Rattus norvegicus: one gene and its partner. The protein of the gene in region 2 interacts with the protein of the main gene of each other region in a pairwise test. Links are inferred from orthologs where the notes say so. Each region holds a gene or a part of one and is shown on either strand. Other genes may lie near its edges.

Evidence for each region.
Region 1: the proteins of Tk1 (region 2) and Tubb2a interact in a two-hybrid assay, tested with the Homo sapiens proteins (2 studies listed by BioGRID and IntAct). The link is inferred for Rattus norvegicus from reciprocal best matches to the Homo sapiens genes TK1 and TUBB2A.

Annotation. Positions count from the first base shown.
Region 1 is NC_086035.1:31,000,988-31,005,080, reverse strand, and holds the start of Tubb2a (tubulin beta-2A chain), read right to left. Parts: upstream 2,896-4,093; 5' UTR 2,819-2,895; coding exon 2,762-2,818; intron 1,494-2,761; coding exon 1,385-1,493; intron 1,135-1,384; coding exon 1,024-1,134; intron 273-1,023; coding exon 1-272. UniProt on the Homo sapiens protein: Tubulin is the major constituent of microtubules, a cylinder consisting of laterally associated linear protofilaments composed of alpha- and beta-tubulin heterodimers.
Region 2 is NC_086028.1:103,534,693-103,538,335, forward strand, and holds part of Tk1 (thymidine kinase, cytosolic), read right to left. Parts: intron 1,008-3,643; coding exon 918-1,007; intron 643-917; coding exon 523-642; intron 445-522; coding exon 259-444; 3' UTR 1-258. UniProt on the Homo sapiens protein: Cell-cycle-regulated enzyme of importance in nucleotide metabolism. Catalyzes the first enzymatic step in the salvage pathway converting thymidine into thymidine monophosphate.

The DNA of each region.
Region 1 (4,093 bases), on a different chromosome or scaffold from region 2:
ATAGGGCTCCACCACAGTGTCAGAGACCTTGGGTGAGGGCATGACGCTGAAGGTGTTCATGATGCGGTCTGGGTACTCTTCTCTGATCTTGCTGATGAGCAGGGTCCCCATGCCTGAGCCAGTGCCTCCCCCCAGTGAGTGGGTCAGCTGGAAGCCCTGGAGACAGTCACAGCTTTCTGACTCCTTCCTCACCACATCCAGGACAGAGTCCACCAGCTCGGCACCCTCTGTGTAGTGGCCCTTTGCCCAGTTATTTCCTGCACCACTCTGACCTGAAAAAGAGAATATTAGTCACTTAGGAATCCAGGGTGGTGTCCTTGGACTATAAAAGAAAGTGGAAAACATGGGGAGGAAGAGGACACATCTTTTTTTTTTTTTTTTTCTTTCGGAGCTGGGGACCGAACCCAGGGCCTTGTGCTCGCTAGGCAAGCCCTCTACCACTAAGCTAAATCCCCAATCCTAAATAACTTTTTTTTTCTTTTCTTTTTTTTTTCGGAGCTGGGGACTGAACCCAGGGCCTTGCGCTTCCTAGGCAAGCGCTCTACCACTGAGCTAAATCCCCAACCCCAAGAGGACACATCTTAACAATTTTCAGTAACTTCTAAAGTTATGCACAGAGCGCATTCTGTAAATACCCTTAATTAGCTATAATTAAAGAGGCGGGGAAGACAGCTCTAAACATTTGGGCTACATCTTGGTCACTGAAGTGGTTACCTGGCATCAGTGATCCTTTGAAATCTCCTACAGCCTATGATGCCCTTGGAAGGCTTTTATCGTTTCCAATGCCCCACCCCCAGAGGCTGCTCCTCCTAGGGCCTTTCACAGCCTCCACAGACCCACACACCCCTCTGAGCTGTCAAGAGTGACCACAGACATGATCTTGTCAGCTGCATAGGTTAGGCCAGGACTTGCGGTCCCTGGGACACAGGCTCAGCTGGATGCTGCACACAGAACTGTAAAGCCCACGGCTGCTAGGAAGGGAATGAGTCAGCTGGGCAGCTCTCCTAGAGCATGACGACATACCGAACACAAAGTTGTCTGGCCTGAAGATCTGGCCGAATGGTCCCGACCTCACTGAGTCCATGGTGCCTGGCTCCAGGTCCACTAGGATGGCCCGAGGTACATATTTGTTGCCTGTGGGGACAAGAGCTGACTTACAACTGGGCTTGGGAAAGGAGATGGATGGAGCAGAAGAAGTCATTGCAGAAATCCCAGCATTGAGACAAAGGAGGAAAAAGAAAATGGAGACACAAAGCATACAGAGGTCCTCAGGAACAGCAACGTGGTTTTTTTTTTAAATGAGTGTGCAAAAAAGCATTTCCTTGTCTGCATGCTGCTTCCTCTGCCACAGTGTGGAAAGCAAGACTGACATCCAAACCCTTACCAGCAGCTTCATTGTAGTACACATTGATTCTCTCCAGCTGCAAGTCACTGTCGCCATGGTAACTGCCAGTGGGGTCGATGCCATGCTCATCGCTTATCACCTCCCAAAACTGAAACGAAGGCAATCGCATCACACTTAGACTGTCACCCAGAAAGGTCTTGGTCAGACAGCAGGCAAGAGCCTAGTGTGCTGCTGGCCTCCATGTATTTGGGCAGCAGCAGCTGCTGCAGAGGTCTTGGGAATGCGCAGTGCATCGCCATATTATGACCACAGATGCAGGGTGCAGGGGGAGCCTGGAGAAGGAAGTGGGCACAGCAGATCTCCCAGAACTGCAGAGGCAGCTGCTTTCTATCACTCCAGGCAAGGCTGAATGTTACACATACAGCCTGATGGATGGGAATGGCAGAAGGGAAGATCAGGTGCCCCACCCCCTGTGCCTCCAGGGATCAATGGCTGCTGGCACAGACTCCATGACAGCTTTCAACAGCCCGGTTTTATACCACTGACCTACATATTGGCTTCGGGTATTGACCCTGACTAGGAAATGTTCGGGGATGGGCAGTAAAATCCTGAGAGGGCATCTGGCAGCCCCGGAAAAAGCTGGCCTCCCTCAGGATGCAGCCTGCATTGTGACTTGGCAGCAGGAAAAGGGAGTGGGGAGGTTGGGTGGGCAATATGGCGGTGTTGAAAGAGACCACGTCCTTGTACAGGAACCTGCCCACACCCATGTTTAATGCTCATTGCTGTCTCCCCGCTGCCATCAGGTCTCTCAGCCCCCATTCCGAGTCTCACAGAGGAGAAAGACGACCATTGCGTTTTAAGTTACATCTAGGCGAGCCCTAGTAAGAGAATTTGTCTAACACCCTCGTCTGTTGGCCCAAAGACAAGCCTCTGTAACATCTGTCAACCCAATGACACTGCATTTTTTTGATTCAAATGATAGACAAAATATACGTATACAAATTACATTTGACATGAGATTTTTCAATACATGGAGTGACACCCCAACCCAAATTTCAGAGACGAAAACACCCAGAGTAATGTCATTTGCACCCTGCAGAAGGGCTGTGTCCCAAAGCAATGTAATGGACCTTAATTTAAGACACCCTGTCGCACCCATCGTGGCAGATTAGTCGGCTTTCAGGACCCGCTTTTAGGACCCGGTCCGCCCAGTAGCCAGCGAAGGAATGCGACACCAGCACCAGCACAGGCTCCTCTGGAACCCCTAGGTCCGGCTTGCCTCCACCCCCCACTCCCTACCCCTCACCCTCTACCCCTCACCCTCCACCCCTCACTCCCCACCCCACCCCCACACAACCTTGGGACCCCGACCCGAGGGGGCGACCTCATCCATTTCCTCCCTAGGGGTGCTCCCACCTTAGCGCCGATCTGGTTGCCGCATTGGCCCGCCTGGATGTGCACGATCTCGCGCATGGTGTTGGCTGTAGAAGAGGTGAAGGCTCTTGCCCTAGGAGCAGTGCGTGGACCGAGGGCTAAGGAGAGCAAAAGACCAGTCGCCTTCCCCCAGCTCCACCTTTTATACCCGGGGACCGCCCAGCCCCGCTGACGTCACGGGGGCAGAGCCGAGGGGCGGCGCTGCGGGGACTGCGGCACCGCGAGAGGGAGCCGGGGCGCGGTGCGAGGTGCAGGGCACCCGGCTGTATGCAGCGTCCCAGGGTTACTACGCCCCTCGGCCCGTCCTGCTGGCTTCCCCTCAACGTCCACCTGAGCTGTTTGTCTACTGTGGATACCTTTAGGTTACACTCTGGTTCCGCTCCCACCCTGCTCACTTCCCACCACGCCGGGGACTCGAGATTGGGCTCCTGCCTCCCCAGATAGCAGGACAGGTGTGGCCTCGCTCTTGGATATGGAGCCCAAAACTGAAAACGTATCTCTATTAGATGTCCTTTCTGAAAAGGAATGCCAGCATCCTGGGCAGGGGCTTGAACTGCAGCCCGGTTCTCTTTGAAGTCTGGGTGATAATCGAGGGCGAGTTGAAAGCCAGGCGCGGTGCGGCTTGGGAGGAGGAGGGGAGGGTTGAGAAAGGGTCTGGACTGTTTCGAGGACAAGGATGCGCTCTACAGGTAGATTGCAGGGTATGGGGAGGAAGAGTGTCCTTTGCTCTGGACTCTTGGATCCTAAAAGCCCCTTAAAAGTTGAAATTTCTGCTCTCGGCACAGGCACGTGTTGGAGCGAGAGAGCCAGGGAGGAAAGAGGAGATGTGAGAGAGAAACCATGGTTTTCATGGGCTGGGTAAGTTAGCCAAAGAACCCCACTGACAAAAGGTCACAGGGATCATGTTTTGGACAGTGTTTAAAATATATTTTTAATGACTCACTTTTTTCACTTTTAAAAATGTGATTACCAGGAAAACATAAAAACACTGTTGCAGCCCACATTCGGGGTTCACATACATCCTGTTGGCTAGTACTGTCCTACAGTAGGCATCATCACTACCCTGATTCCTCCCCTTGAAAAAGCAAGGTTTAAAATCTGATCAGCTACAAAGGGAGGAAGCCAAAGAACTTGCAATGTTTCTATTAGCAGAAACCCTGGGTGAGTCTCAAAGGCTTGGCACTAGGACTGGACCACCAGGAGTTACTCTTGGTTGGTCTGGCACAGTGGAGAGGTAAACAGGAGCTTCCTCCACCTTTTCCTCTTGGGAGCCAGTTTCTTCAAACATTACATAATTATAGGTGCCTTGGAGCT
Region 2 (3,643 bases):
GTTCAATTTCCAGCAAGGTCTCCCCATGCAGCTCTCTAGTGAAGCAAGACCAGTAAAGTATGATGTTGCCTGAATCACGGGGTTTAAGAGAGAAGCGTTGGGTTGGGGGCTCACAACCATTATAAGAAGGGAACTAAGAAAGGTTTCAACAAGCAGATAAGCCAAGGTGCAATGTCCAGTAGGAATGGCAGGCCCCGCCCCTTTCCCTGCTCTCTGGGAGTCCAACCTGGGGAAGGAGCTGGCAGGCCCCGGGTCCCCTCAGTTGGCAGAGTTACACTGTAGGATTTGCTGAGGGGCAAAGAGCTTCCTGACAGCCGGGATCTCTATAGGCTGCCCCAGCACTGAGTAGTTCTCTTTGTTGTCTGCAGTCTGGGCTGAAGACTTCTTAAAGTAGCACAGGCGGCAAACAGAGTGGTACTTGTCCGCTCCGCCAATCACCTCCACCTGGTAGGAGAGGCGTATGAGGGAGGACTCAGAAGCCTAAGCCCACCCCACTCCGTGGGCAGAAGCACAAGGAGATACCTCTTTCTCCAGGCCCAGCCTCTTGGTGTAGGAAGCTTCTCGAAAGCACTCCATGCACACAGCGGTGAGCTTCACCACACTCTCGGCCAAGGGCACCAGGTTCAAGATGCTGCCGAAAGCCTACACAGGACAGCAAAAGTGTTAGCCAGGCACTTCCCTCCCTGCCTGTGTTCACGTGTATGCGTGTGGAGGGAGTTCTGCGGAACTGACGCAAGCCTGTGTGCAAGGCAAGTGTGTTACAGCCTGGGCTGCCCCCAGCCCAACGCTTCTCTTTTAAACCCCATGATTCAGCAACATCATACTTTACTGGTCCTGCTTCACTAGAGAGCTGCATGGGGAGACCTTGCATGCTGTCTCCCCTCTCAAGACCGCTGCCATGGGTCAGACATCTTTACCTTCCTCTGGAAGGTTCCGTCCAGCGCCGCCACAATCACTGTCTTGCCTGTATTGGCCATCGTTTCACAGAAATCCACAATGTCAGGGAACTAGGAAAGTTCAGAGAGGATGAAGTGAGCCGTCCTGAGCAAGGGCCTCATGAAGACGGTGAGGGATCCGAGCACACAGGTAAGCCCAGAGCCGGAGATCAGACCGCACTGCCACTCCTGTGAAACATCCCACCTGCATGCCCACTGCTACCCAGGGCTGGCCCACAGAGGCCTCTACATACCAGAGAGGCTGGAACAGCAGTTCTCAACTAGTGGGTCGAGACCCCCCTGGGGTTGAACAGCTTAAACAGTGTGCATGAAGCCCTTGGCTCCACCCCCATCCCCTACCCCCACATCAAATGAGCCAGACAAGGTGTCCAACACAATACCACTACTTTAAAGGTAGAAGGATTAGGAAGTTAAAATAAACCAGGGCTGGAGAGATGGTTCAGGGGTTACAAGCATGGCTTGTTCTTATAGATAACTAGAATTCAATTCCCAGCACCCACAACAGATAGCTTACAAACCATCTGTAACTCCAGATGCAAGGACAGCTAATGTCCTCTTTTGGCATCTGCAGGCACCCACCCTCACATGCACACATGCACTTTTAGCCCCCATGGACAGCTGGAGGGAGGAAGGGAGGGAAGGAGGAGGGGGACTCTTGGTAATGAGATGTACAAGGCGTACGTAAGTAGGTTGGCAGGGATAGCTGCCCTCCGCCTTCCACTGTCTCTCAGGCCAGCCTCCCCCTTCACAGCACGGGTGTAGACCAGGTTAGCCTTGAACTCAGGAGATCTACTTGCCTCTGCCCCTGAAGTTCTAAGATTAAAGGCCTATGCTATGAGCCTGGCGCTTCCATTTCGTTTGAGCTGGGTCTCTTCCTGAATCTGGAGCACAGCTACTGGGCTGGGCTGCCTAGTCAGGGAGCTCCAGGGGCCTGCCTGTCTCTGCCTTCCTCACACTGGGATTATGGACATGTGGCTATACCCAGTGTTGTACACGGGTGCTAGGGACCCAAACTCAGGCACTCATGCCTGCAGAGCCAGGGCCTCCCTCACTGACAGAACTGTCTCCCCATCCCTTCTGTCTCTCACTTTTGATTGGTTACTGCTGTGCAACCCAGGCTGGCCTGGGTTGCAAAGCAATCTCCTGCCTGCCTGGTTCTTGGACCTTTTCTTGAACATATCTCTGCCCTACACCTTAACGTTCTAACCTTTCTCTTCTTCCACGGTCCCTCCCAGTTTTAGTCTTTCAACGGAGGTGAGGTGGAAGCTCCAGATTTATCTCCAGACCTAGAATGCCGCAGCCAAAGGGCAGAAACTTGGAATGGATGCGATTGGTCCCTGGACTCAGCCATTCCCACAATAGTCACAGCATGTGACATGGCTTGCTCTATAAAAACACACGTGTATAATTAGAAGCGTCCAGGCTGGACTGGCATTCATCAGAGTCCTGGCACTGGCTGAACATAATCTCTTGGGTCAACACCAGGCAAGGCAGGCACCCTGGCCGCATGAATAAAGACCCTTCCTCAGTCTCACGTGACCACTGACAAAGCAGGTGCAGTCTATGCCAGAAGCAATCAAACAAGCACCACCCTTCCGCCAAAAGGAGCTCGGTCCCCTCCCGGAGGGCCACTGTTCCACGACTAGTGTTTGCCCCGTGGCAGGCTTTAGAACCCACAATATTGGCTCGCAGGGCATTCCTGGTAGTTTCTGGTTCAAAGACACTTAAGTGGCAAGCCTCCTTTGTCTGGTGTGCTCCTGCTGTGCCCTACATTGAGCCTGTCATTACTGCGTCAAAAAGAAGGGAAACAAAGTTCTTAACGATGCAAGCTTCTAATCTTGCCCAGAAGCTGTGGGCCCTGCTTCTGGTGAATGAACACACGGGAAGCTCTATGTCCTCAGCTCTGGCTCCAGGGACCCTACAGGACCCTCTACCCACTGTCTGAGGACACAGGAAGGAAGGGCAATCTCCTTGTGTTACCACGAGGAGATCCTGAACTTAGTAAGGAACAGGGTCTAGAGTCTGGGGCGGAAGCACACAAGAATTGTGTTGTTTATACAGTGCACACTGAATACTCACTGTAGCCTGTGCGAGGGCCCATGACTACACAATACCAGCACTCAGGGGCCCGAGTTCTAATCTAGCCTGGACCACAAAGCAAGACCCCACCCCAAAACTCCAAGTAGCCACTAAATGAACTCGTTTTCCTTAATCATAAGGTGGGGTGGGGGTGGGGCGCATAGAAATAAATCTCTCCTATAGGTTAGGATGGGGAAGAGGGTTGGGGCGACTGGTAGGCTGGTGCCAGACCTGGGTATGAGTCTATCAAGCAGGAAGAGCTAAGAAAAGAAGGTAGTGGGCTGGAGAGATGGCTCAGCGGCTAAAAGCACTGACTGCCCTTCCAGAGGTCCTGAGTTCAATTCCCAGCAACCACGTGGTGGCTTACAACCATCTGTAACGGGATCTGATGCCCTCTTCTGGTGTGCATGAAGACAGCTATAGTGAATAAATAAACAAATCTTTAAAAAAAAAAAAAGAAAGAAAGAAAGAAAGAAAGAAAAGAAAAGAAGGTAGTGCCTAGGGAGTGCGGCTGGGCCTCTGGGAATACCAGGAGAGCACAGAGTAAGCAGGCTACTGCCGCAGGCCTGAGGGGGGAAACTGTGTCCTAAGTCAACGTCTGCACAGCC